Schizosaccharomyces pombe: one gene and its partners. Changing the gene in region 1 together with any one later gene gives a genetic interaction. Each region holds a gene or a part of one and is shown on either strand. Other genes may lie near its edges.

Region 1 (5,988 bases):
CGTTAAAAAAACATCTCGAAGGTATGTTTCTTACTCTGTACTTCTTCTAACTATTAAAGCATATGAGCTTGCCTTGAAAGAAAAACGATTGAAACTCCCTAACGTATCAGATGTTGATAACAGAAAGAAAGCCAAAATAGACGCGCATGACACTACTCCTCTAGATGAAGAAAAAGACGAATTAGAAGAAGAACGAATTGCGGAGGATATAGCACAAAATGAAGTTGAGCAAAATATTGATGATGTGGAGGACCTCGAAGAAGTGAATGATACATTAGACGCAAACGCAGAATCTCCTCAAATAGAAACCATTCATCTTACAGATGCTACGGGAAACCCAATTGAAGATAGCTCTGAATCCGACTCAGAAGAATCTCTTCAACTTAATGATTCTTCGTAATTACTGTTGGTTAAATGTATATGAAGATTGTCAATAGTCCTAACTTACATGGAGAGCTAATCATATTTTTTTACACGAAAAACTAAACCTTCTTTATTTTTTAATGGATTTTTTGGATACCTGTTAATACCCCAATTTACATCCTTGTATCCAAACATAGCTTTTTTAAACAGCAGTTTGAGATAATGTCTTTCTAGCACAACATGTATACTCGTTTAATGACATATATTTAGAAAGAATCATTAGATTGTTTACAGTTGTAACTCAATATTAGTCAATCTAGAATTTTTTTGAAAATCAACATTCAATAGGGAGAAGGTCGAAAAGAAAAGAAAAAGTTCATTCTCGAATTAAACAAATGCATTTTATTTTCCATCAGATTAACTTATGTCAACAATTGTAAATTCAAAAGTCTGTCGCCTTTACCTTCGCACACTTTCTCTACGTAAAAATTATAAGAATGCGAATTCTAAGTTGGAATGTGAACGGTATACAGAATCCATTCAATTATTTTCCATGGAATAAAAAAAATTCCTACAAAGAGATATTTCAAGAGTTACAGGCTGATGTAATATGTGTTCAAGAATTGAAAATGCAGAAAGACAGCTTTCCTCAACAATATGCAGTTGTTGAGGGATTCGACAGTTATTTTACATTTCCTAAGATCAGAAAAGGCTATAGTGGGGTTGGATTTTATGTAAAAAAAGATGTTGCTATTCCAGTGAAAGCAGAAGAGGGAATTACTGGCATCCTGCCAGTACGAGGACAAAAATATTCATATTCAGAAGCACCGGAGCATGAAAAGATAGGATTTTTCCCAAAAGACATTGACAGAAAAACTGCTAATTGGATTGATAGTGAAGGAAGGTGTATATTATTAGATTTTCAGATGTTCATCCTAATCGGTGTTTACTGTCCAGTAAACTCTGGAGAAAATAGACTAGAATATCGACGGGCCTTTTATAAAGCCTTACGAGAAAGAATTGAAAGATTGATAAAGGAAGGAAATCGAAAAATCATTCTCGTTGGGGATGTGAATATTTTGTGTAATCCTATTGACACTGCTGATCAAAAAGACATTATTCGAGAGAGTCTTATTCCAAGCATCATGGAATCAAGACAATGGATACGTGATTTATTACTACCAAGCAGGTTGGGACTACTGTTGGACATTGGCCGTATTCAACATCCTACTCGGAAAGGAATGTTTACATGTTGGAATACAAGACTTAATACAAGGCCCACAAATTATGGTAAGTTCTGAATTGTTATTTTTTTTACAATGGATAGGTACGAGAATTGATTACACTTTGGCAACACCCGATTTATTACCTTGGGTTCAAGATGCAGATATTATGGCTGAGGTCATGGGTTCAGATCATTGCCCCGTATATTTAGATTTAAAAGAAGAATATGAAGGAAAAAAGTTGTCCAACTTTCTAAGTCACTCAAAAGAACCACCTTTACTATCAACGGCGCATCATTCAGCCTATCGGCCATCAAAAAATATTCATTCAATGTTCCAACATTTCAATTCGATGAAAAAGAATAAAAACAACTCACCCACTCAGAGCGAAAACGTATCTGCTTCTGCGTCCAGCGGCTCCTCACCAACTGTTTCTCGTGCAAACTCTGTCATAGACGTCGATGCCTACCCACCGGAAAAGAGAAGACGAAAAGAACAATCGAAGCTTCTTTCATTTTTTGCGAAGCAAAAGGAAGAGAAAGAAGAAACCAATAAAACAGAAGACGTTTCGATTGAGGTCCTTGATAACAATAATGAATCTGACATAGGGTTGACAGTAAAAAAAAAAGTAGAAAACGGGAACGCCTGGAAGCAAATATTCAGTGAACGAGCTCCTCCACTTTGTGAGGGTCACAAGGAACCTTGCAAGTATTTGACAGTGAGGAAGCCGGGAATCAATTACGGGCGGAAGTTTTGGATTTGTGCCAGACCGGTTGGTGAACTGATTAAAAACTCAAATGCAGTTTCTGAGGAAGATACTCAACCGTTCCAATGCAGGTTCTTTATCTGGGACTCAGATTGGAGAGCAAATTCAAAGGACTGAAAATTTGTAATGACTAGCATAACTTGCTCTTAATCAATTCTCAATTTTGATGTGTATAAACCGCAAAAAGCATTGAGCAGTGCATCACACATCTTTCATTAACATTCTTAATATGTATATACGGAATTTTGTACGGTTAAGATTTCTTTTTTTGAGATCCGAGCATCATTTCCAAACATATAACTTTGTTTGGATGTACTTTTCTTCTGCACACCGGACATTTTTGTGTGGCAGCCGTTGTACCTAAAGCACTTAGTATACAAAAATTGCAAAATATATGCCCACAGGGAGTACAAGATAGGTTTTCCGGACTATCCAGACAAATTACACACTTATAATCAGCTAGTCGTTGTGAAGATGGAACAACCTGTTTTTTGCTAGGTTCTTCTTTTTCAATTTCGGCGTTGGTGGTCGATGGGTTCTTTCCCTGTTCAAATTTTTGTTTTCTTGGATCATAGGAAGTCTCATCAGTTAAATCAATCATATCGCTTATAGTAGTAGGTTGCGCGTGAATACTATTAACATTTGTTAAACTGTTTTCAACGGAAGCTGGATGATTGTTGTAGGTGAATCTTTGATTTATGTCATCAGCATCATTCTGAAAATTAATGTCTTCCAAGTCGAATACTTCACTTTCCACATCTATGTTTAAATCAGAGGTTTCAACAGGTAGTGTTTCTTCTTGTGCTAGCTCCGAAGCAACCTCTCTTAGCGACCTTGGTGCACGATTCAGTGGTAAAGACTCATTCTCAGAGGTAGTGCCTGAAGGATAGTCTGTTGCATCTTCTGAAACCGGAAATCCGTTTCCTGGCGAATTCTCTACTGGAGAAGAACGTCTCCTATTTATTGCTGCATTTCCAGCTGCGACTCTAGCGGATTGAGATGGGATATTGTATGGTGCAGATAAGTTTCTAACGTTGGTATCTCTCTTATGTGCGGGTGGCATTTTTTTGCCAATTGGTCCTGAAATTCGAAAATAGTTTATAGATTATTGATTAATGGGCTAATATTAGGATAATTTTGATCGTATCCTAATCGATTGTCAAATGCTTTTCAGGCTTGCTAGAATAATAAAAGAGAATTGTGTTAACGTCAATATACGCAAACAGCAATTATTTTGGCAACTTGCCAACAAGTTTAAAATTAAATTTAGTAGACCTATGATTTTTGAAGTCTACATGGAAAAATTGGCTCACTACCACAATGTTGTAAGATGCTAGTCTAATTAATATTTATGACCTTTTTCATGAGCACATTCAATAGCGCAAGCGGTATTTCAAATAAGAAAAGAGAACAGAAAAGCTGGTAAAACTTAATTGTGTATCAATAATCTTTTCAATGCAGTTCATTAAACTGCGCAACCGACATTATTATGAGTATTCCATAAACTATGCAAAAATGTATTATGGAGTGCATTAAGGAATGCTAAAATAAAAAAACGATAACAATGTATATCGCTATTTCTTTTCCAAATTGTTGAATATTAGAGGAGTGTATATACTTAGCATCAACCAACGCCTTTTTTTTAATCTAGGTCTGGGTAGACGCAATGGTCAAAAGCTATACGCGGTACGAACCAACCGAATTTTTTGGTGTCATTGCGTCTTCGGGATGTAATATTCTCGGTCAACCCTCTTCGTCTGCTAAATCTGTAGGCAGAGCCATTGTTGGCGGTCTTGAGTCTGTTTTGGAATGGGATTTAAAGACTGGGCAATTACTATCAAAATGGAAGGATTCTGATTGTTCGGCAAAAGTTACTTGTATTGCAAACTTTGATGAAATGTACGCTGTGGGCTATGCAGATGGTTCTATACGTCTTTGGAAAGATGGAGAGCTCTTAATAACTCTTAATGGTCATAAAAGTGCTGTTACTACCATGGATTTTGATAAAATGGGCACAAGATTGGCCAGTGGAAGCATGGATACCGACATTATTGTATGGGATATTGTAGCTGAAACCGGCTTGTTTAGACTACGTGGACACAAGGACCAAATTACCAAGCTTTTGTTCATTACACCTCCTTCGAAGAATACAGCTGAAGAAACAGTGGTGGACACAGATATTGATTCCGGCGACATGGACGTTGACAGTAAATCGTCTGATTCGTTTCTTTTGTCTGTTGGCAAAGATTCTTTTATGAAGCTTTGGGATTTGTCTATTCAGCATTGCGTTGAGACTCATGTCGACCACCAAGGCGAAATTTGGGCTATGTGTGTTTCACCAGACGCCAAACGGTGCCTCACTGCTGGTACCGGTTCTGATGTTAAAGTTTGGGAAATCAGTTTTCCAGATGACAATAATTTCACTCCAACTACTAAAGCATTTCAGCAATTAGGTACCTTTACCCGTCAAAGCCGTGACCGTCCCATCACCTTGGCTTACGACGTTTCAAACCGTTATGTTGTATTCCAAGCTCATGACCGTCTTCTGGAGGTTTTTCGCCTTCGATCAAGTGCGGAGCTCGAAAAGATTCTGAATCGACGACGCCGTCGTAAAAAGTCTGAGGACGTTTCGATCACGTTAAAAGACGAATATGAACCTTTTGCTCTAATTCGAACCACTGCTCGTGCTTCGTCTGTAGCTTGGATACCAGGAAATCGTACACCTACGTTGGTAACATCTCTTCAAAATAACTCAATTGAAGTTTACGCTTTGGATGTCAAATCTGAAGGTTCTGCTGCACCATTAACTGAACGGGCTTCGCGTATAAGTGCCATTGAAATTCCTGGTCATCGTGCTGACGTTCGTACCTTGGCTTTGTCCGCTAATCACGATGTGATTTTAAGCGGTGCTAACGGCTCTTTGAAGCTTTGGAACAAGAAAACCACATCTTGTATCCGTACAATCGAATGTGGTTATGTACTTGCTGCTAGCTTTATAAATAACGACAAGTGTATCGTATCCGCTTACAAATCAGGAGAACTTGAAGTCTATGACATTGCTAGCTCTTCTCTTATCGAACGTATCCAAGCTCACGATGGCGCGATTTGGGATTTAGCGGTTGGTCACGATGGCACTTACTTCGCGACTGCCTCTGCCGATCACACAGTCAAACTCTGGTCTCTAAAATCGTCTTTTGATTTCGTACCAGGTACCACTAGAAAAGTCACCACGTTGAAATTAGAGCAAACACGACAAATAGATTTCACAGACGATGTCCTTGCGGTTAAAATTTCACCTGATGGTCGTTTCGTTGCTGCTTCACTATTAGATAATACCGTCAAGGTATACTATTTGGATTCGTTGAAATTCTTTTTAAATCTTTATGGTCATAAGCTTCCAGTTCTCTCTATGGATATTTCTTATGACTCAAAGTTGCTGGTTACTTGCAGTGCCGACAAGAATGTCAAAATATGGGGTCTTGATTTTGGCGATTGCCACAAGTCTATATTTGCACATCAAGATTCTATTATGGAAGTCACATTTCAACCAGATACTTACAACTTTTTTACTTGTTCAAAAGATCGAGAAGTTCGTTATTGGGACGGTAAATCATTTGATCTAATTTTAAAACTTCG
Region 2 (7,575 bases), on another chromosome or scaffold:
GTGCAAAAGAATATTTCAAGATGTTGTAAGAAGGATTATTTTGTTTATTTTGTTTTTGTTTTATTTTATTTTCTTTTTCTTTTTCTTTTTGTTTTTCTCTTTCTCCTTCTCTTTCTTCTTTTCTTTTCATCGCTTCCTCTCATCTAAAACTTTGATCCGACTGATAGCTTGGAATCCATCGTATTGCATTACACCACACTATACAACGCTATATCCTTCGATGGATTATCTGGTCTTAGTCTTAGTCTTAGTCTTTATCCTAGTTATTGGTGCCTGCCCTAGCCCAGACAGAGATTTGAAGAATGGGGGTTAGGATCCTTGATGCCCCCAGTAGACAAAGAGCAGTATAGCAATGACAATGACAATAGCGATAACAATAAAATAGCGATAGTTTAGTAAAGAACTGTTAAATAGTAATAGTAATAGCAAATACAATTTCTATTTGAATCGCTGTCTTTGTCTACATTCGTTTTTTGCTCATGTTCCTTCATCTCCTGTGTTCATGCTTCCGTACGAAAAGACCTGCAACGCTTCCGGCCCATCGGACGCTGCATTTTACTTTTTTAGATGGAGCTCTGATCGTCCATCTCTCCCATTCCTCCCGGCTACTAAACCCGGAGTTAAGATAAAGGTGCGCCTGCTATCCGAAGAAAATAAACTCTGCGTAACCGAAGCAACAATGGTCGTGGTAGCAAAAGGAGTATAGGGTGAAAAGAGAAAAAGATAAAAGAGAGAAGAGAGGAGAGGCGAGAAAGGAAACAAGAATTATAATTAAAAAAAAAAAAAAAAGAAAAAAAGAGATTTTCTCTTAAGAATCAAAACATACTGAATGCAATTGTTTTGCCGAATACTACGATTTTTGACGTATTGCACTTTTTTTGGCTTATTGCTGGATCAACATGTATAAGAGTCTATTTAAAGGATTTCCGTTGTAAAAATACAACTTATCACACTCACACGTTGACACTAAGAGAAAAAAGCTATAGCGAACAATGATACACACACATATACATACGCTGTTGCTATTCACATACGCTGCCTTGATACACACTGTCTTGACTATAAGGAAAAAAGGTTTGGCTTGGTCACAAGTAAAATGTAGCGATGACTTTCGTACTCTACTAATGATTGTTTAGTGAAGAATGATAAAAGATAGTAGTGTGTATTGATTATACTTGTATAATGCAGTTGAATTTACTATGAATAATTTGGAAATTTCGCACAACTCGTTGGTCCTCTTAAAAAAGGAGAAATTTCAGTTTGCGAATATTGGTTTCTCTCTCTCTTTACTTTGCTTTGCTTTGATCTGCTCTACTATACTCTACACCCTTGCCTTTCTGCTTTCTTTGTTTGGTTGCAAAATTCACAGATCGCAATGAAAAAATGTTTTAAACTGCGAACTAATAAGTAGAATTGATTTTGCAATGAAAAGTAAAATTAAATTAAATAGAAAAAGAAAATTTTAAAAAGAGACAAAGAAGAGTAAGGAAAAAAAAGCCCCCCCCCCCCCCCCCCCGAAAAAAAAAGAAAAACAATGTATTCATGGTAAAAACAAAAAAAGTTTTTACTCATCATTCATTGTATCGTTGATCAATTAAAGAATACAAAAAAAAAGTAAGCATAAACCCATTTGGAAACATTGCATCAAAGGATTTTTCATTTTCATTTTCATTTTTATTTTGTTTTATTTTATTTTATTTTATTTTTTTGTTTACCATCATTGATGAAACAGACTAATGAAAAAGAAACTCTAGTACATTTTTATTTTTATTTTTATACTATTGAGCTTTAAATATTAGAGTATTTTATTCTATTGAATTTGAATTGAATTTATTTTAATTTTGGTTAAATTAATTGATTTTCTTTTCTTTGAAATTTTTATTTTATTCAATCTTTTTACACTTTCTAACGTACTACCAAAGTCCCTAAATACCGTATCGCCCTTCTACCTAAAATTCTTTCAAAATGACACACTAAACCACAGTATTTGCAAAAGAAATACTCACCCATCCCACTCATTGATTTCAATAATCTTCAATTCTCAAACACAAAACGACATCCTTTCAACTACTTCTAAAAGAATAAATATTTTCCTTTTTTTATACTATTCATCTTATCTAAACTCCTCCTGCATCCATTTCTCTTCTCCATTTTTTACCCATCTCTCACCTAACCTATATATACTTATATGTAAACAAACCTACTACTCTCTATACTTTCCATACCAAATATCCTCAAACATCCACGCAAACCTCCAATCTTTTTAATTATTCAAACTCTTTAATACCATTCCTATCTAAATTTTTTACTTCAAACTTTTTTTTTTTTTTCTCATTTCTTTTCGCTCTATTTCTGTCACCAACTCTCGTTCCCTGCCGGCTCCTTGTGTACACTTTGCCCTACCTGTCCTAACCACCAAACCCTCTATTGTTCGGAAAACAAACACTACACATGCATTGAATGACTCTGCAGTCTACAGATTCCGCTATTGTGATCGATTCTGAAGCTGATGTTGACATTTCAAGCTCACAAGCTTCTCCTTCCAAGGTTTGTCGCGTATTTCCCTTTCTTTCTGTTCGCTTTTTTTTTAACCCTCTTTTTAGGACAATATTGCTTTGTCAGAACACAATGTTATAACTGTTCTTGATACTCCTCAAAGATCTACTCAATGCGATAGTTTGCTAAAAAGTTTCAGGTAAGTTGACAAATATTGTTGCCAGCATTTCCTTCCTTTCCACACTTTTCTTCCACATCTCGCTAATCGTTCATTTGGGGTCAGTACTCCTTTAGTTTCCGGCTCCGAAGATGTTCTCCCTAGTCCCCGTGATGCCCTTAATATCACTAATAAAAAGTCGGTTACCGATAATCTTTTGCTCTCTTTAACTTCTTCAAACCAGTCAACAAACACGAATTTAAATCCTTCTTCACGCGTCGAAATCATTAATTTAAACTCTTCTCCCCCTAATTCCCTTTCCTCGCAACCAAAACACCAAGAATTTCATTTATTCCATACTCCCACCATTCCTAGGACTACACAATTGTCATCGAAAACCTCCTCTCCCATCGTTATTCCCGACGACAATGAACAAGTGGCTTCCCCTTTATCTAAAAAAGCTGCTTCTTTGACTTCTTCACCCTTAAAAGATTTCCAGTCCTCCCCGCCGCTCTCCACAGTCCTTCAAAAATCCCACTCCCTTCACGATATACTACTGGACACGAATGATGACGATCATTTCCCATTTACCCAGAGTCCGCTAACAAAAACAAAATCTTTCAACGATGCACTAACATCCTCATCCTCTATACTAAAGCCATGCATGCCATCCATCGCTAGTCCTACTTCTAATCGATTATCACATGCCCCTTCTACGCCTAATTTATTTCCTAACCAAGACAGCTCCAATACAATCGACCTCATCAATAACCGTTCCAAAACCTCCGTAGAAAATCAAGAAAGAACTTTCAATCTCACATCTGATGTGCACTTAGATAGCCCGACCTCTCCATCCAAGCATTCTTCAATTGAACCCAATACTAGTCAGGAAGATAGTTTTCAAGAACTTCCTTCTCTAAACAAACTTTCCATTCAAAGTAGAGCTTTTAAAAAAATGAGACTACCCAAAATTTCAAGGACTACCGATACGCCTCCTGCCTCTACTTCAAATTCAAATAAAAAAAATTTGGATAAATTAAAAAAAATGAGAAAATTATGCTCTAGGAGCTTGGAACCGTACGAGCTAGACTCTAATACACAACGTAAGAGGAAACGTTACGAAGATTCTTTGAAAAAATCAAAAACTTTAGATAAGGTTGACAGCTTGAATAGAAAGATGGCGAAAGAATTGGACAGAAAGAATTCAAAGGAACTTCAAAAAATTAACAAAGTTAAGAGAACCAAAGAAGAATGCCTATCTGAGATAATTCTTTTATCGCCGGATGATTGGGCTTCATCTTGGTATTCAACTGTTCGCTCTCAATTAGATTCATACAACTGCCAATTCGTTGTCAATTCAAATCAACCAAAAGACTCAATTATGTGGAAAAGGAAGGTAAACAATGTGTTTAATTCTTCTACCAACCGGTTTGAACTTAGCATAGAGCATGAACAAATCGAACCTTTTGCCCTACTACGGTTGAAATGCCGGGATTTTATAAAATACATCGAAGAGGACCAAGCTGATACTTTTTTTCATGAAATGTCTGAAAAGTTTAAAGGCTGTAAGCTAATACTGTTGCTGGAAGGCATCCCAAACTATTTTAAATCTCTGAAAGCAGAATTAAATCGTCAATATGCAGCAGCTGTTAATAGCGGTACCAGACCTTTGTTATTTGGTTCTTTATCAAAATATCAAAACTTTACTAAAGAAAAGTTAGAGAGTGAAATCGTCCGCTTCAGTTTCGAACATAGTATTCTTATAAACACTTCAAATGACGAAAAAGAAACCGCTCAATGGATAGTTTCCTTTACCGGCGACATAGCTTTATCTCGTTACAAGCACTTTTCTAAATTTTCAGCTAGAGCCTCTACTACCGAAATAGGACATGTCAAATCCGCCGATAGAATTGAAAACTCTCTAAATTTTATGTTGCGGCAAATACTACGAGTTACACCTAACATTGCTAACGCCATATGCGATCAATTTGACAGTATACCATCTTTAATTCATCATCTAAAAACTCACGGCGAGGAATCATTAACCAACGTTGTCATCCAATCTAGTATTAGTGAACGAAATTTAGGTCCGGTTTTATCGCGCCGTATATATAACACTTTCTTATGTAAAGAAGCATCCAGTGATGCACCATAGTGATCGGTCATTATTTGTATTTCATTAATTGTTATCATGATATTTTTTCCTTTTTTTTTCTATCTATGAAATTTTCTTATGATATACTTTCTTCTAACTAAAAATTAACTAATATCGGTTTCTAACTAAAGCACCTCATCTTCTATATCGTCGGTAGTATTCGTTCAAACTTTCTAGATCAATCAGATTCCAAACTTTCATCGTACTGGTTCAAGGCACGTCTAATGGCTAACACATTGTCTACAATGACAGCATCAACTCCAAAACGTACTTGGCGTCGGACATTGTCAACATCATTATTGAGAACACCATAGGTGTAGCAAGATAAACCCAATTGTTTAACTGCCTTGATCAGCCTCGGGCACATAATGAGCGGTTCACAAGCACTAACGATACCCAGAAAACTCCACTGTGAGGCAAACTTTAAAGCTTGTCTAAGCGATGCTGCACGAACGTCTGTTCGGTAAGCGGTACCTCCTTCAGTCAAAAAAAGAACAGGATTAGTCGATTTCAAAGAAAGTAAGATGCATATATCAGGATTAAAACTAGAGAAAATATACTTTCTTTTACCACCATACTTTTTGATTATCGATAGAATGGTATCCACGTAAAAGTTATAATCATAAGCTATAGGGAGCAATTTCTCTTCCTCAGCTTCACTTAGCATGGGGTACTTAAATTCCACATTAAGTCCTACGGATTGTGGAACTTCCTTCAAAACATCCTTTAAAGTTGTGAACGGTGCACAAATCGTATGACCAAGGGCATTACCCTTATATACTTTAGGCTTCAAACGTGCGTTTTCTTCAGCAAATTCACCGAAATTAACCTGTGATCCTGAAGGTGTAAATGAGGAACTGTAGGCCCTAGGACGTCTCTTCTGCTGAATGTCACTTGCATCATCTTTAATTTCTTCTGAAGGAGAGTGGGAAGCCCCTAAGAATTGCTCCAAAGTCAGCGAATGCACTTGTGCATCCGTTCCGGTTTCGTTTACGATAAAATCATGGTATACCACTGGGACCATGTCTTTAGTCATTTGCACATCTAATTCAACGTAAGAAGCACCAAGATCTGCCGCTTTTATAAACGATTGTAAAGTGTTCTCGCCAAGTTGAAGACTCAAACGATCAGGCTGATTCTTACCAAGTCCACGATGTCCGATAACCGCAACACCATTCGATTTCCCTGATTCTGATGTAGTTGTGGCAGATTTGTGTAAAGAACGCTCAGCGTCTTCCAATGCAGTGCGACTTACGTTGGAAACTGCTTCCAGCGATAAGGCAGGGGTACTTATGCCATCATTTGACGAAAATCTATCATCAACTGTCACCTTAGAAATAAGAACATCCGCATTAACATGAGCTATTGGTTTAAGAGTTTTACTCGAAAGTAATGGTAAGGGTGCCAAAGGTTTCAACGACTGCATATGATTCCCCAAATCAGATACCAGAGAAGTCAAGCAACATACAGTTCTCCCTAATATTTTATGGGATCGATTTGCTAACAAATCAATTGTAATAGTTGCTTCTTCTGTATTTCTTGTAACGAAAACCAATTCATACGGTGGAGAAGACCCGTTTACAGGTTGCGGACTATTTTCTTGTGCGGCATCATAATGCAAATGAATAGAGTCGTCGGCAATTTCATCAGGCTCCGCCAAATTCTCTAAGCAAACTTCACCGGCATTATCAAAATGGGAGCGAGGGATATCAATAATCACTGAGTTGTTTTGGCTAGAAGATGGTGTCATAGAGCCATTAGAAGCAGTAGTGTCGTTTTTACTCAACGAGTCAGTAGATTGAGACATGAAATCTACTGAAGATGGTCTACTTGCGGCAAAAGATGGAGACCGCCCTGAAACATACACAGCATCATCACCTTGAAGACTAACGCGGATTCTACCGGCCAAATCACTGATTCGAATAATGACCACTGAACGAGATAATTGTAAATCCATGGCACGTTTTCTGCTCCTCATTTCGGAACTTGAGGCTTTGATATAAAGTGTATGTAAATTAACAGGCTTATCACTCAAGGCGACTTGAGTTCTAAGTTTATCTGCTAGGTGTAAATACCCCCGAACCACAGCTTGTTCCATAGCAGTCCAACCTGAAGAATCAACTTCGTCAACCGAAGCGCCCGAGGCAACTAAAATTGAAACAATTTCGGAAAGTCCAGTAGCTGATGCAAGCATCAAAGGAGTCCATGAATTCAAAAAATCCCTTGCGCTAGGGTTTGCTCCAAGTTTGAGTAACATTTTAACACATTCCGGCCTGTTATAACGAACAGCGGTGTGTAAAGCTGTATTGCTACTAGCATCAACTTCGTTAGGATTGAATCCTGCAAGGATGAGTTCTTCTACGATCAAATCGTAATCGCCTACACAGCAAGTCAAGACCAAAGGAGGAACGGGTCCCGGCTTGGTAGAGGTTGTTTCCTTATCCTGAGCAGAAAGCAAAGCATGAAGAGCTTCAACATGATTTCCCTTAATAGCCAAAGTCAAGGGAGTGTCGTGCATTACATCGCGCCAACATGGAAGCATCCAATTCAATGGCTCAGAGTCAGGGATTGATGAAACAATTTCACAAAACTTACTGCACAATCCTGCCCAACCGAGTTTCGCAACAGAGTGCATCACACTCTGTCCCTTGCTATTTCGTTCTACAAGAAGAATCCTTGAAAGTAAACGATTAGAATGGTATGAATCCACATAAACCACTGAACAAATTTGTTTCAACACCTCCAAAAAATATAAAACTCCTTCGTC
Region 3 (7,749 bases), on another chromosome or scaffold:
CGACATGTTGCTTAGCTGCACTGTATTGCCATCCTTTTCCGTTATTTAGGAGAGTCCAATCATACTTTCCGTCATCAGTTTCATTGATGCGAAGCAGTAAACTGTCGAACAGACTTCGTAGGTAGTCATAATCTGGAGCTTCTTCGTAACCCAAATTCCGAGCATAAATCATGTACTGTAAAAATTCCTTTGGATATCCTTCGCATAGCTCTTTCAAAGGAGTGACTTGTTTCTTTTCACCAATTTTTTCGTATTTTTGCTTATTTGTAGCAGCTTTCAACCCTTGCCAGGGAAGACTACCTCGAAGGAAATACATGAAAACGTGTCCCATGGATTCTAAATCATCTCTTCGTGATTGCTCACGACCAAGATGTGTGTTGATAGACATATAACGTGCAGTACCAGATAGACTCTTATGTTCATTATACGGTCTATGAACATGAGTTTTTGGATCTCGATATTGCTTAGCCATGCCAAAATCGACGGCATAGATAACGTTTTCGGTTTTGCTTCCAGGGAACCCGATTAAAAAATTATCTGGTTTAATGTCACGATAAATAAAATGTCTCTCATGAACAGATTGAATACGGGTGATCTGATTAACCCTGTTAAAATGTAATCACATAAAGCCAATCCGACAACAATCGGATAGACGTTTACAAACTTACCATTTGTTTTGCAATCATGGCAACGGTTTTAGGACTAAAACGTCTGCCACAATAATCAAAAAGGTCCTCTAAACTAGGTCCTAGAAGATCCATGACCAAAAGGTTGTACATGCCTTCTTGACCGTAATAATACACGCTCGGAATTCCAGCTAGGGATAAATGTTAGGAAATTGACGAAAATCAGTATAGCAACCATAGTGAATACTTACGCAAACCCATTAGTAGCTTATAAGTAAGGTATTCATCACGAAGTTGAGGAACCTCGCTTTTTCTGGACTCCTGTGAGAATGCAACGTTAGTACTGAAATTGAGAATCTGGATTGCTCTCTAAAAATAATTACATACAAATTTTAGGGCAATTGGCTGATTATTGATTAAATTTACACCTTGAAATAACATGCCAAAAGATCCTTCTCCAATCTTTTTACCAACGCGGTAATGAACACCAACGACGTTGGAGTGAGACGAAGTAGTTGACATGATGGTCTTTTAAATATTCCACTATGTTAAATGCAGTTTTCTTTAAAATGTTTTTGATTAAAAGAGCGTTCCGGTTTGTTAAATGTTGATGTCTTTCGCACTCGAAAGTTAAAGATGGTTACGGGTAGAAAAATGAAGTAGATGCCGCTAAAATCCACAAAGATTCCATGAAAAACACAAAGAAAGTGACAGTTCAATTATTTCGTTTACAGTTGACAACCTCAGAGGAATCCGAGGCAGCCAACACTGTACTTGGTAGTGGACAAGTAAGCAGTACTGGGTTTTCCACCGATATACCAAGCTAGCGTAGTATAAGGTTGGAAAGCTGAAAATAGATATAATGGTATACTTTCTAGTTTGAGTTAGTGGTAAACAAAATTTTATTTTAGATTCATTAGCTAACAAAATTGACAATGATCAAGGGACTCGGATGAAACCTATCTAACCAAAATTCTTTTATTATCTAATGGGTTTGTATGATTAAGATAAAGGTTAAATCGTATCGCAACTTAAACACATACTAATATAGCAAGTATTTAAATTAGTTTTTGTAAGATAATGATCCAACTTTACGCTTTCACGATTAAGTACTTTGGTAACTTCAGTCACATCTCCAAAGCGAGCGGGTGGGTAAATAGAAATGAGATTTTGAGGATCATATCCTTCAAACTTACAAGAAGAAAGCGAACCAGGTCGGATAAGTCCTTCATGAAAAAGTCCGTTTATGGTCACAGCCTCTAGAGTCCGATATAGTGCTGACATTCGGAATTGGGTTTCTATAATTGCATCGTTTTTACCCTGGGTATCCAAAACTTGGATCCAGTTGTCATGTAAAACAGCTCGTCTCCAAATGGTATTTTCATAAAATCTCTTGGCATCGTCCGTTAATCTGGTGGTTAAAAGAAGACGCAAAGCAAGATAATAGTCGGTAACTTCACCTTCTACAAGGTCCTCTCGACGGTATAAAGAAAAGCTGAGGTACTCCAACAGTTCAGTTGCTTCAACCACCTGTCCGGCAATGAACTTTTTGACTACGCGCTGCATAACCTGACGAGCGATAACAGGCGCTACCTTGGCACCAATCAAATCATCCACAACAGCTTCTACAAGCTGGTATTTTTTCCCCTGAGAACGAAGCCGTTCAACGACTGGCATAACACTTTTGGAAACCATTTTTTGAATATGTAGTTGCTCAAGCTTTTGTTCCACTAAAACCAAATCTCTGATATTTCCAGAGTTGGATGGAACTGCATAAAGAAATAATTTACTTAATGAAAGCTCAGATTCCTTTTTATCAACCAGCTTTTCTTGTTTAGTAGCCAACTGTAGCAATCTATGCGACGCAGCATCGTAGTCTCCTAACCTCATATCATGCATCCATGAAATCTGGTTGTAATCTCGAGATTTAAAAAATTGTTTCAAATAAGATTTGTTGAACCTGTCGCTATTAAGCAACTCTAATGCCATGCCATTTTCAACAAAATAGTCATATAATATAAATGCGAATTTTATACCAAAAAGATCAAGGTAATTGTTTAGTGCATCCGTGAGCTCATTGTCCTCATAAAGTTGATAGCACAATTCTACTAAAGAACGATAGTCTGAGTATTTTTCAGCGATTCGAATGGCACTGCTGCCTTTACCTATATCTGATAAAGTTTGAACCCAAAATCTGCGATTAACTGCAAAAGCTTCCTTGACATCTTGAATTTCACTAGCATCCTTACCACAACGTTGTTCTATCCATCTAATCCTTTCTGAGTACGCGTCAAAGCAAACCTCTGTCAAGGCCACTAATTGTACTTCTAAATTTGAAACGACATTTCTTAGCACCCCTTTATCCTTTATTTTAAAAGTATTCTCCACATCCGAGGTTCCTTGATGTGACTGGACAAGCGCTGACCGAGTAAGTTCAAACTGTCGACACAGCAAAACTAAAGTTTCTGGCGTTGACGTCCAAGGAACCTCTTCTCCAAAGGTATCAATACTTAGCTTATAAATCTTCTGGGACTCACGGCGATAAGCCAAAGCCGAAGATTGAATTGCCAGAATTACTTCATTAGCTTCCATAATTACATCAAGAACTTCCAATGGAAGTTCTTGAACTCGAGAACCTGAATCTATGCAAAATTCATGTGCTTGCGCTATCAGTTGATCAATGCTTTCAATATTATGCAAAAACCACTCTCTCAAAGCGTTATCCGACGAAGCACTTTGAGTGAGTCTATAAATTATGCGTTGAAAAATTAGGGAATGACTAACAGTACTAAATTCAGTATCGATAGTATTCCATAAATATCTAACAGAATTGCATTTTTCGCCCATTACTCTCAACTTGTATAGTACTTGACGATCAACATCCAGTGACATAGACCTAATATACCGGACAAGATTATTCAAAGAATTTAACCTACAGGACAGATGCTGCATTAAAGAAGCAAATAATGGGGGTAAATGAGTAGACCTTGAATTCAAGATGTCCATTCCAAGATCGACAATAATCCTTTCGAGTTCAGGCTTTTTGATGGAGCGAAGGTAATTGCAGGAAAAATCGATCGGATTACCAGGAAGGAAGGAGTAAAAAACAGCTTCTTCCAACTTGCTTTTTACGAGAGATTCGTTATTTGCAGGATGCTCCAAACTATGAACTTCTATTTCAGCGATACCAGAATAAGGGGTTGCTATAAAACATGATTCCGTAGGAATAGAGTATTTTCCTAAAACGTATTTGTAGCAAGTAGACATAAATATGCCGCCAGAGACATTAGTATTCATACGAATAACCTCTTCCCATGATGTTCTCGATACAATATCTTTATCATCCTCTTGGACGTGCACTATAATAACAGCGTCTGTTAAAACCACAAATAAAGAATTCCCTGATGATGAATAATGTAGCTTTGAAGACTCAAGAGATTTAGAAGAAAATGAATACAATGGATGAATATTCATTACCGAGGGTGAGGAAATGTCAGAAAAATCAAGAGAAATAATCATGTAACGGTAATTAATAGAATTTTTCCAACATACTAAAAAACTCACTAGATTTCCGTTTGTGGGGCATATAGTAAGGTCTAACACCTCAAGTCCGCTTGCATCGGGGCATCCTTCTCTCAAAACCTGCTTAAAAATAGGAGACAGATTCATACCAGAAACAAGCTTATTTTCCAACTTCAAATCATATATCTCTAGTAAACCAGATGCCTCAGCGACATACAAAAGATGTTGGTATGGAGAGAACAGTGGTGGGGATTTTAAAGCAATGATATGAATGCTAGGGTAGTTAAAAATCTTCATTTTCTGAAGAATAGTAGAAAAAGTACTAATATCGGAAGCAAATAATTGTACAGAAACGTCAGGTTGACCTGCAGGATCGCGCAGTTGAACAGAAAAAAGACGACCAAAATTGGTAGATATGATGAACTTCATGGGGTTTGAGCAACATAAATGCTCACATTTTTCTTTGGGGAGTAACTTTATCAAACTTTCCATTCCCTGGGGACATATATAAGATTGAGCGAGAGCATTCCCAATTGAAGTCCAATATGCTATACGACCAGAGATAGGCATTACAATCAGCAATCCAGGTTCTTTGTCAGAAGCATCAGAAGGGACGAAGGCTGTCAAGGCATTTTGCCCGGAAAAGCCATTTGAGTCCTCTTCAGGTAGCGGAAATGTTATAGTTGGAGGTTCTGCTGTTCCCAAGCTTTGACGATACGACAAAATAAAGCAAGCTTTTCGGGAATTAATTAATGCATAACCGATGTCTGTGTAGCATGATCCACTTAAAGGATGGTCTAAATTGAATAGAGATGTTAGTTACCTAGTAATGCGCACAGTGAAGAAATAAAAGCTTCGTACCGTTGATAATTTTAGAATTAAAATGTTTAAGTAGACACGAGACCTTGAAATTTTTAGATCTGAGCCAATCCAATGAATTATTATAGGCAGTGCTATCCAAAAGCGATTTCTCAACAGAAATTCGTTTCAAAGGGCTAAAAGATACGACTTCTTCATTTTTCCTTTTACCAAGGATAGAACTCATGACTATTTGACGATATCAGTACTGATACTGGCGGTTATCGTCTATTTGACTCCTTAATACCCTTAGGGATAGAATATGGCTCTGAGAAGGACGAATGTCGACGATTCCTACAAAGAAGGGTTTGAAATCAAAAGAACTTTACTTAGACTCCTATTTTTTACTCAGAATTAAATAGTTAAGCTACTGATAAGAAATTCAGAGTAAAATCAATATATCAATATTTCAAAATCGGTGTATATGTCATATACACTTTTTTCACAAATGTCAACACAGTTTGCTCTTTTGTAATTAATTATTTCTTTGCTTTGGTATATTTAAGGAAGTGATACTTAGGATATTGTCTTTTCCCGGAATGTTGTATAAAACAGAGGTTTTTAAAAAGTAGTTGCGTTCTTCAAGGTCAAGCTTAAACTACTTTTTTAGAACGCATGATCAATTTATATAAATGTTTCATGATTCCGTATTTGAATTTTTTTTATGAGCACGCCAATGGTTGGAAACATCAGATTTCTTCGTAAAATCGCACATCTGGTACAGAAAACTATAAAAGTAGTAGAAAGTTTGGGACTGGGTTGGAAACAACTGTAATAAAGAGAAAAACGCGAAAATACTTTATTTTGAAGTGTCTGAACTGCCGAATCGGAAAGCTATTTTTCATTAGTGTTGTAAATTATCCGAAGGACTGAAAAAGACCAAATTTTACAAGAAAAATAAAATTATTGTATTTTAAGATTTACTTTTGTGATCAATATTCAGGCTAATATCACTTAAGAGTTAAAAAGTTATCTAACTTGATGGCACGAATAAAAAAAATTTTTACTCAGGAAGAATTAAAACAAATCCCCTGTCCATATGATCACAAGCATACAATTGTGCGACATCGTTTAGAATATCATTTGAAGCGTTGTAACGCGCGTCCTGTTGAAAGGACCGATCCATATTACAAGAAGGACATAAATATCTCTACTTCAACAGATGCTTCAGAATCTTCCTCCTTTGAAATCGTCGATTTAAGCAAGGAAGAGTTGTCAAAATGGATTTGTTTGTTCAACAGAATTAGTGATTCTTTACCGACTCCTCAAAAAAAGGTGTTGTTTCACCCGGCAATGAATGCAAGACTGTATGTACGAAGTGCTTTCTCATTAGCTTTTTATTAAGAAGATGGTTGCAAAAGTAGAAACTAACTTCATTTTTAACAGTGAAGAGGGTACAAAAAAAAAGCATGCAATTCAGCAGGTATGTTCGACATGATTTCTTAACGGCAGTCAAAAGCATTAACCATTTTAGGCATCATTGTTAGGACATATGGAAAAACTACATTATTTTGACAACCAAGGATCTATATATTACGAATTCGGTGCTGGAAGAGCCGAGTTATCAAGATATGTTCAGCACTGCTCCCAACAAGAAAACGTATATATACTTATTGATCGTGATTCAAATCGAACGAAGCATGATAGCAGGATATTAAAAGATAGCATCAAAAATAACTGGCCTGAGCCAAAAATTATAAGGTGTAAAATTGATATTAAGGATTTGAAACTCGATTTTTTTGCTAGTGAATTTCGGAATAGTGGTAAACCTGTATTTGCATATTCTAAGCATTTATGTGGTGCTGCCACAGACCTTACCTTGAATTGCTTAAAGTCCTCCCCTCCTAATGCTCTTGTAATTGCCCTTTGTTGTCATCATCATTGCCGATGGAGAACACTTTCAACCTTTGCTAGAGAACAATTAAGTCATTGGGGAATTTCAAATCCACAAGAGTTTCAAATATTACGACAGATGACTGGGTGGGCTGTAAACAGTTTGCGTGAGCATATGCATGCTTCTGGAGGAGCCGACTCACACATCAGTGGTCTTTCTCATGAGGAACGCGTAAAAATTGGGTTGAAGTGCAAGCATATTATCAATTACATGAGAAAATTAGAATGCGAAAAAATGGGTTATGAATCTTCTCTCGTATACTACGTTGGTGAAGAAACGACTTTAGAAAATGTTGCACTCATCGCTTATAAACGAATCAACTAAGTGAATTTCCTTACGTGAGAAAAGTAAGAAAATTTTTTAAATTTGAAAAGATTGCACTCAAAAAAACTAGAATTATTTTGTACTTTTTTGAAGTGTGAGATTGCATATAGCAATCTGATAGTTAAAGCAAATTTTACTTTTTTTTAGCAATCATGATTTCTCTTGAAGTTGGAATTGTTTGGAATATGTAAATTTTGATAGACATTATTTCCTCTTACTTAAAATTAAAAAACTTCCTAACTAGTTAAACTCGGAAATTGTGCAATATTTAAATAATAAAAACTATTTTTTTTAAAAAGTATAAAATTAACAACATTAATAAATAATATGGAATATGTATGAAGGTTTCATATTCAACTTTCTACCTTCTTCAATTCCAGTCTTTGACCACCGCATAGCAATATCGCAAAAATGTCGAAAATTCGCATTTTAGTAGGAGTCAAGCGAACTCTAGACTATATGTTAAAGCCTCGCATCAATGCCACTAAGACTGCTGTTGATTTATCGGGGCAAAAAATGAGTGTA
Region 4 (8,635 bases), on another chromosome or scaffold:
TGCTGAAAAATATACAAACAAAAACTGAATAAAAAATTTAGTTAGTTAATGTTACTAATGAAGCTAGTTTGAAGTATTTTTGAGTATTTGGACTAAAAAGAAAGATAGTTAATAATTAATTTAAAACAATAGAAAAAACAAATAAAAAAACGGAGGAAAACTCAACAGTAGTAAAGGCGTAACAATTATTTGCAGTGGTAGTAAATATATATATATATACATATATGTATGTATGTTGTATTTGTATGTATGTTATATTTGTATACTATGATAAGCGTGGGTAGTATCAAAGTGCGTTGGAAAAGAATAATAGCAAATAGTAAAGGAAGTAATAATCGACTAACATAGAGTAAAAATCAACCATGGGCATGTGGTGTAGATGGTTATCACGCTTCCTTAGCATGGAAGAGGTCCCAGATTCGAGTTCTGGCTTGTCCAAAATTTTTAATAAATAATGTGTTGGTCACGCAATATGAAACTGGAAATTTGATATTCGTACTAACATACGAACGAAAATAAAACACTTTCTATTTTCTGAAATTTTTACTTCAGAAAGATATTTTCGGGGGTATTCATGAATCAATAACTTTTGACAACATAAATACAATATAATTCGATCACTAAAAAATAACTTCTGTTTATTTACAGTTGCTAGTATTCCACTCTTTTTCGTTTGTTTATTTACACATTATTTTCCTTTAACTCAGAATTGCGTTAAATGATTCTTTTCGAATGTATAATTGCAGCAATGTTGATTTGTTTATTATTTTTGTTTACAACATTATACTTGGTTGTCTTTAGTAAATCTTGCCTCCTTATTGGTTACAAGTCAAACATCCATTGTAAATAGTGAGTAATTGGTGTTGTTTATTTAGGCTTAGTTCAAAGGCTTAGCTAAGGATATTATTACTATTCAGTTAATCTAAATCCTTTGTTATTTGAGCTATTTATCCAGGATGCAAATGGTTAGCGAAAGCTTTTATTTTTAAATGATCATCTTTTAGTAATATTAAATGTTTACTTAACACTTTTTTAAGCAAATGTTAGGTGAGCATCAAATTATCATTCGATGTTTGTTTATTGTGAGGGATTTCATAAATTATTAGTTATGATAAAACAATGTGTTAATATAAACGAAATGAATTGTTTTTTAATATAAATAACCCAAGGTTGAACATGTTTTACCCAACCTTTGTATACACTTCAAGAGATTGAACACGATCTCTAATTACTGAGTTATCCAACTGGCAATCACTCAAGCCTCAAAAGAGCCAAGTAACTTCGTAATGAACAGTAAAATTGCTTATCCAGAGATTAAAATATCAGGTGCCTTTCGTCCTGATAAAATACAGGAAAAGGGAAAAAGTAACCGATGTGATACTCACTGCTCTGGTAGCTCTTGGACAAGTTTTAAATCAAAGATCCTAAAAATTTGCGCTCCTCTCTGCTGTATGGGTTCTGATAACGATGAAAGCATGGCAGAAATGCCATTAGAACCCCAAGTTGAGCCAAAATCAATAGAGAACAATTATACTTTAAAAAAAAAAAATGAAGAAGGCTTCTTAAGTCAACAGGAAAATAAGTCTTCAAACCAAAATCCTTCAAAGGCTAATAACCTTTTCGACAAGCTCGGCGTAAGCAAGCCAATAACATTCATAGCTTGTATACTGCAATTGGGCGGCACCTCTTTTATGGAATCAGAACTCCAGACGAAACTTTCAACTATTAATAGCTCGCCGTTTAAAAGTTTATCCCAATACTGGAATGCTGCATACAATAAAAAGGAATCAATATCATCTTCAACGAATAGTAACATCAAATTACATTTGGCAGCTCGTAAATACCAAACAAAACCTGAAAAATTTAACGAAAATTCTTCCATTAGTCAGGTTACATCCGCAATAAAAGCAACAAAGGCATTTTCGCATTTAACTCAACCGAAGAGGGCACTATTGAAAGAAAGCAATACGGGAGATAAAGATATATTTAAGCCTCGGTATCCACAGCTTCTAAGCTGTAGATTTACAACCTTGAGCAAATTGGCGCCAATTAATAATTCCAAATCAGCACCTAAAGGTACCCACAAACCGAACCACTCAGAAAATGCTGAATTAAAAGATATAAAACAGAGCTCTGAGCTTTCTGACTTATCACTATCTTCACAGATTTTATATCCCGAATCCACGACTTTAAGTGAAATATCGCCGATATATGATTCTGAATTAGCAATTGAAAATATACTCGAATCTAAGTGCTTTGAAAATGAACAAGCCATAATAGAAGGAGTAAAAGATTTTACCGAATTTCCCGACCTAGAAGAAACACAGATTATATATTCCGACCTCATCGCTTCCAGTGAAGTATCGCCAATATATGATTCTGAATTGAAATATGAAAGTGTACTCGAATCCAAAAGCTCTAGAAACGAACAGGCTACAATAAAAGAAAAAAAAGATAATGAAAGGGTCCTCGACTTGTCACAGCAATGCACAAAGTTTCTTTTCAGTGACCAAAAGGTTATTACCCCAAGCTTTTGCAAATTTGCCCAAGTATCAGACATGTGCTCTACTGAAATTCCTTGGGTAAACTTCTTTTGTGATAACCTAGATATATGTATCGAAGATGTTCAATTCAAGAGTAAAGCCTTTTTTCCACCTACAGTAACTATTACCATCTTTGAGCACGAAGATAAAAACTTGATGAATGTCTTCGATACTAAAAATGGAACATCAAAAACATTAGTGAAACCTCAAATAACTAATAGCTGCCTTGAAAATATGCTATCACTTGTAAACAAGAACAGCTGTATTAAAAGGCTTCACTTAAAGTTGTCTAAAGGGATAATGGACATCAAGGTATTAACTCATCAGCTAATGCTATATGATCTTTATCCTCCTGCTCACCAAACATATCTATGGAAAGCATTAGAACGACTAGTGAATGAAAAGGTGAGTTTAGGAGAACTAACACCTGTTCACAAAGTAGCAGCCGAAAAGAGAATAGGAGACATCCGGATGCATTTAATTGAATCTTCGGATATATACGTTGTTACTGAAAATCATCGCTGGCTACATATCGTGTGTGAGGGCTTTAACTGTTTCTTAGAGCTTCCCGAAGTACTTCACGGAAAGAAGTTTTTAAAAGTAGATGAGGCTACAAGAGAAGACATGTTAATGTCTGCAGAGACTCCAGACGATATTTTATGGATAACTACATTGATAAGTACTGGTTCATCGATGTCACATTTTCCTTTGCATGCTTACCTGGAAGCCAAAGAGAGACAAGAATTCACAAAAAAGAACCTTTTACTATTTTGTAAAGAAGATGAGTTTTTATACTCCGACCAAGAAAATGAAGACCTTTTAGAATCGTTTGAAAGAGTTATTTCAGAAGAGTTATCCCTTTTAAAATCAAATGAGCCGTCAGATATCTCACTAAAAAAGAGAAAAAGAAGAAAGAATTGTGAGAAAAGAATATTGGGTACAATGATGTATTAAACGGCATGGCCAGTCGGAAGAACTATCCTTATGCTAATAATATATCTTCAGCATTCGCAACCATTGATATTTGCTTGACAAAGCGTTAATAATCCTATTCCCTAGGATATCATTTGTACTACCACAAAATTGAAAATAAATTCACAACGAAGTCAAACAACAGGTTTCTTTTACAAACGAACTGGCACGACCTTTCAAAAGATGTGCAATTAATTTTGTGAAACATCTGTAAGAACAATCGGCTTCCCTATTGAACTGACAACGTTCTTTCACATGGATTAGTATATGAAATCCCTATGATAAAGACATACTTTAAAAAATTTTCTCCATTCAAGAGGATCCCCATTACGCTTTATAAAGTTTATAAGCTCTAAGTTATGGCCTAAATTAGTTAGTTCAATAACACCTTGCAAGAGACATTTCCGTTTATCATGTAAATTAACATAAAGGATGGTCTGATTTCGAACATATTTCATAGTCACTGAGATTGCAAGTAGTCGTAGACTGTCATAAAGATGATCTATAATGGTTTCTCTCGACGCCCTAGAATAAAACCTAGTGAGTCTTTCAGGAGGACAAATTTCGTAGAAATTCTTAGCCTTTTTGGCCTTTTTCATATAGTTAGAAAAAATTTAGGTTTAAATAAATAATACCAATCTTTTAATAAAACCTTCATTCTCACAAAACTGACTCAATGAGGGGTCTTTTTCAAGGATTTCAGTAACGTCAATATTTTTATTAAGTTGTACTGGCTGGGATAAGGCGCCATAAACTTCTACACGATCCAACTCCTTTTGGTCATTTTTTTTAAAAGCTGGCTGTGTCATTGAAAAACCGCTATCGCTAATTGAAAGAGTTAGAAATATGAAACAACTGTGCAAGATCTTACTTTTGAGATGCTCTAGATGAGGCAAGACGTGGTTTATCTAAATCAATACGAAGTTTCAACATGAGCCTTGATGCCAATGCTACAGGATCGGCACAATTCCCATTTTTAGTTCGAAATGGTGTACTTGAGGTAAGCCATGGGTGCTGTACAACATGTTTGACAGAGTAGCGCTTAAATGGATCACTTCGAAGCATTCCGGTGATAATCGCTGATCATTAGTTTAAAGGAATTTCAGTCAGGACTTACAATAGGCTCCTGGAGACAACAAGTTCCATGGGTGGTAAGACGGGCGTTCACATTGTTTTTTATAAAGCAAGTAGTCACCAGTGTTGCTAATTGCTTCATCCCAAGGTGTGTTGCCTAATAACAAAGCAAAAAGAATTATACCGCAGGACCAGACATCAACTTTTGAACCATCATACTGCTGTGTAATTTCTGGAGCAGCGTATGGTGGACTACCCACTGGACTATTCAAAAGCCTACTTTTACCTTTATAGGAAAATAAAGATGCAAAGCCGAAGTCTGAAATCTTTAAGTTACCATTGTAATCTAAAAGGATGTTCTCAGGTTTCAAGTCTCGATGCGCGACACCTTTAGAGTGCATGAAGGAAATACCTTCCATAAGTTGAGCAAAATAAAACTGAGCGACGTCCTCATCAATACCTACATCAGGCTCTAAATTGTAAGTCCGTTAGTAAAAACGAAAGGTTCATGCACCCACCTATTTTGTCAAATAAGTCACCACCTTGAGCAAATTCAAGTACTACCCATCTCCATTGGGGATTTTCTGCTGTATTATAAAAATGAATGATATTTTTATGTCCATTGCATAGTTTGTGAAGTTGTATTTCACTAGCCATCCTTCTAGCCCATACCCCTGCATTCATACAACTAGTAGCATGTTTTTTATTGACAAATTTGACAGCATATATTTTAGCATTATCATCGTAACATAAACGGACGCTTGCTTAAGTTAGTATATAGTATTTTTCAAATCAAAATTCATACGAAGCAAAAGCCCCAGTACCTATTTCTCTACCAATATGGTAAGGAAAGTTATCTAATTTTTGAGCCATTCTTTGGTGTAAAGGGAAAGAAGATTATAATATAACACAAGCATATGTTGCAAATTTTGGCATGTGTATTATTTACAGTCTTAACATCATCAAAGACTGGAAAAGATTAAATTAAGGTAATTTTTAAATGAGTTTTAAATCTATATAATGATATAAAATTGGACTATAATTTGATATCCGGTTTTCGTTTACTTGTGTACATTAGCACATGTTGTGTTGTGTTTATAACTTACTCTCCTACCACCACGTACTCATTGAGAAACTACAGTAACAACTTGAGGAATGGATTCTGATATGCAAAACCAGAACCCTCATACTAATTCTAAAAACTCTTCTTCTGCTGGCATGGCTGTTGACGGTCATAGCGTTACAAAACGGTAAAAAATAAACAGTTTTTAGGAAAAAAGTCTCTAATGCATTTGTAGATTGAGAAGCGAATTAATGAGTTTAATGGTTTGTAATAAGCTTTTTTACTTTGTTATTAACTAGGGTTTTATGACTAGATGTCCAATACTCCTGGAATTAGTGCGTTTCCAGATTCTGATTCTAACCTGCTACATTGGGCTGGCACAATTACCGGCCCAAGCGATACGGTATGACTTTTATTTTGAAAGCTTAATATTTAAAGTATATGAATAATGCTTGGTGTGCTTACTTGTAGCTGCACTTTAATGGAAAATTAATACACATCTTTGTCATTACATTTTCATAACTGTCTACTCTTCTTTCTTCTTTTTCATACGACTAACGTAACGAAAATAGTACTATGAAGGATTGAAATTTAAAATTTCAATGTCATTTCCAGCTAATTACCCATATTCCCCTCCAACTATCATTTTTACTTCACCAATGTGGCACCCCAATGTCGATATGAGTGGAAACATATGTTTAGACATTTTAAAAGATAAATGGTCAGCAGTCTATAACGTACAGACAATTTTGTTATCTCTACAAAGTCTGCTGGGTGAGCCAAACAATGCTTCTCCCTTGAATGCTCAGTATGTTGAAAATATCTCATTTACCTTTTTTGATTATTAACAATTCTTAGAGCTGCAGAATTGTGGAGTAAAGACCCTATCGAGTACAAACGTCTTTTAATGCAGAGATATAAAGAAATCGATGAAATTTAGTTAGGCCGGTCTATTTCATACTCATTTTCATTTCTGTTTAGTCATATGGATTTTCTTTTCCTATTCAATGCTTGAAAAAATGTCTTTAGTTAAACTTTCTTCATTGATAATGGAAGTTGAAATTATTTCATCTCATCGATTAAGCAATTCCTTCATGCAATGCCACAACCTCCTGAAAACCACCGAATGGTTTTTTAAGGACCGTCTATCATTATTTAGTTCCAGAAGTTGAAGTTGTTATTATGATGCTCGATTAAAGCTATTCTTGTTTAATGCATTCCGTTAATGCAGTCGTTTTTTTAGCTTTCCGTTAGATTATAATACTATTTTATTATTATTGATTCTCAATGTCATTGTGTTATGTATTATCGCAAGACAAGTATCAATGTTATGTTGTGCCTGAATTTTTTTCTGATTAGTAATAGGACTGTATATACAGCCTAATATTTGTATTTCTAATTTTGAGCCTTTAATCCTTATGAAGCCGTATAGTGAAGTATCTTTTCAGTCTCAGAGCATTTTATAGAGTTGCTGAAATTTACACGTCATTTAAAAATTTAAGAGTTTTACCAATTATTATTACAAAAGATTTGTATTTAATTACAAAAGAAAAACTGATTAGAAAATTGAACATTTAAACTGATAGCTGAATAAGCTACTAAAACTGGCTGTTTATATGCTACCAAGAGCATACCTGCGAATGACTAGTACACCAAAGAATCTTGAAAAACAGCCGATTAACTTCGACAATCTCCCCTTGTATTTACAAGGAACCAATTACGGAGAAAATGTGCTTAGAAGTGACCCACGATGGCTGAAATGGGAGAAGTATTTACGAGAGTTTGACATGACAAGGGAGGGCAATGTAACAAATACGCCGAAAGCCATTCCATCTTCATGGAATCCCAACGATAAGTCAGATTCATTAGAATTGATGAATAACAACATGGGGGTTTATTTCTTTGGTTCGTTGTATTAATTATAATGGTTTATAACTAATCTTTAATAGGTCCTGAAGCCGGCACTGAACATGATGCGGCGTCTGTAAAAGCTGATCATGCAATTCCATCAAACACTTCTATCTACTATTATGAAATTCAAATTTTATCTCGAGGAAAAGAGGGAAAAATGGGTGTTGGATTTTGTCGGAAGAGCATGCAAACTAATAGGCTTCCAGGTTGTACAGCAGAAAGCTGGGGATACCACGGAAACAGTGGTGAGAAATTTAATTGCTCTAAAACGGGTGAAGCTTATGGACCTGAATTTACCACTGGTGACATTATAGGCTGTGGAGTTAATTTTATCAACAGGACAATTTTCTACACCAAAAATGGTGCCTATTTGGGTGTAGCATTTAAGAAAGTCAGCGACGTTTTGTACCCTGTTATCGGATTGAAAAGTCATGGTGAACATGTTGAGGTTAATTTCGGACAGAACCCATTTCTTTACGACATTGATTATGCTATTCAAATGGAGAAAAACAAATTATTTGAACAGGCAACTAAGTCACCAAAGCAGGAAGAGTTAAAACAGCGTCAAGAATTTCTAAACGAGCTGATTTCATCGTTTCTGCTCAATAATGGATTTGTTGAAACCGCCAAGAAGTTTTGCCCAGAGAACACCGAAGTCTCTGACGCAAGTATTAGAAAAGGTATATTTTCGCTTTTTACTGAACAATATGACATTGACACTTATTAGAAATTAGTTCTATGCTTGCTAATGGCCAGCTCGACCTTGCTATGACAAAAATCGACTGTCAATATCCAGTTGCTATCCAGGAATGCCCTGACCTTATTATGTCTTTAAGATTTTTACGTTTCCTTCAACTAGTGAAAGTGACTCATGATCAGCGGCTTACCAAAAGTAAAGGCACCAAGCAAATCTCTCAAGAAGAAGATTTACGTATACTCCAACCTTTAATGAATTATGCTCAAGAACTTTCTAATGATTATGAGCATACAAAGAGCAGCAACTTGCAGGCGATGATTAAATTAAGCATGGGATTGCTTGCATATTTTGACCCATTTTCAAGCCCATTATCGT

Evidence for each region.
Region 2: mutations in slx8 (region 1) and eme1 are lethal when combined (synthetic lethality), as found in Schizosaccharomyces pombe (one study listed by BioGRID).
Region 3: of slx8 (region 1) and nup132, a mutation in one rescues a mutant of the other (synthetic rescue), as found in Schizosaccharomyces pombe (2 studies listed by BioGRID).
Region 4: mutations in slx8 (region 1) and chk1 are lethal when combined (synthetic lethality), as found in Schizosaccharomyces pombe (one study listed by BioGRID).

Annotation. Positions count from the first base shown.
Region 1 is NC_003423.3:1,286,546-1,292,533, forward strand, and holds slx8 (SUMO-targeted ubiquitin-protein ligase E3 Slx8), read right to left. Parts: upstream 3,667-5,988; 5' UTR 3,416-3,666; coding exon 2,606-3,415; 3' UTR 2,470-2,605; coding exon of another isoform or gene 1,691-2,469; 3' UTR 1,654-1,690; downstream 1-1,653. Other genes in the region: DNA polymerase epsilon subunit Dpb4, read left to right, coding at 1-21, 60-400; AP-endonuclease Apn2, read left to right, coding at 861-1,653, 1,691-2,469; U3 snoRNA associated protein Dip2, read left to right, coding at 4,019-5,988. UniProt on the Schizosaccharomyces pombe protein: Mediates ubiquitination and subsequent desumoylation/degradation of sumoylated proteins and proteins containing SUMO-like domains. Acts as a critical suppressor of gross chromosomal rearrangements (GCRs) during normal cell cycle progression.
Region 2 is NC_003424.3:3,294,753-3,302,327, reverse strand, and holds eme1 (Holliday junction resolvase subunit Eme1), read left to right. Parts: upstream 1-2,414; 5' UTR 2,415-2,460; coding exon 2,461-2,547; exon of another isoform or gene 2,548-2,603; coding exon 2,604-2,695; exon of another isoform or gene 2,696-2,779; coding exon 2,780-4,808; 3' UTR 4,809-4,986; downstream 4,987-7,575. Other genes in the region: glycerophosphoryl diester phosphodiesterase Gde1, read right to left, coding at 4,987-7,575. UniProt on the Schizosaccharomyces pombe protein: Interacts with mus81 to form a DNA structure-specific endonuclease with substrate preference for branched DNA structures with a 5'-end at the branch nick. Typical substrates include 3'-flap structures, D-loops, replication forks and nicked Holliday junctions.
Region 3 is NC_003424.3:2,774,815-2,782,563, reverse strand, and holds nup132 (nucleoporin, WD repeat Nup132), read right to left. Parts: upstream 5,277-7,749; 5' UTR 5,194-5,276; coding exon 5,010-5,193; exon of another isoform or gene 4,954-5,009; intron 4,946-4,953; coding exon 1,641-4,945; 3' UTR 1,511-1,640; downstream 1-1,510. Other genes in the region: serine/threonine protein kinase (CK1 family) Cki3, read right to left, coding at 1-595, 669-817, 878-947, 1,014-1,148; tRNA 2'-O-methyltransferase Trm13, read left to right, coding at 5,988-6,313, 6,393-6,429, 6,481-7,224; etf2 (electron transfer flavoprotein alpha subunit), read left to right, coding at 7,636-7,746. UniProt on the Schizosaccharomyces pombe protein: Functions as a component of the nuclear pore complex (NPC).
Region 4 is NC_003421.2:1,056,847-1,065,481, reverse strand, and holds chk1 (protein kinase Chk1), read right to left. Parts: upstream 5,687-8,635; 5' UTR 5,463-5,686; coding exon 5,395-5,462; intron 5,350-5,394; coding exon 5,108-5,349; exon of another isoform or gene 5,062-5,107; coding exon 4,633-5,061; exon of another isoform or gene 4,595-4,632; coding exon 4,387-4,594; exon of another isoform or gene 4,341-4,386; coding exon 4,151-4,340; intron 4,106-4,150; coding exon 3,809-4,105; exon of another isoform or gene 3,764-3,808; coding exon 3,707-3,763; 3' UTR 3,498-3,706; coding exon of another isoform or gene 1,287-3,497; 3' UTR 1,039-1,286; downstream 1-1,038. Other genes in the region: protein Meu27, read left to right, coding at 1,287-3,497; ubiquitin-conjugating enzyme E2-C Ubc11, read left to right, coding at 5,745-5,839, 5,888-5,915, 5,966-6,055, 6,225-6,460, 6,511-6,592; gid1 (putative Ran GTPase binding protein), read left to right, coding at 7,293-7,557, 7,602-8,243, 8,291-8,635.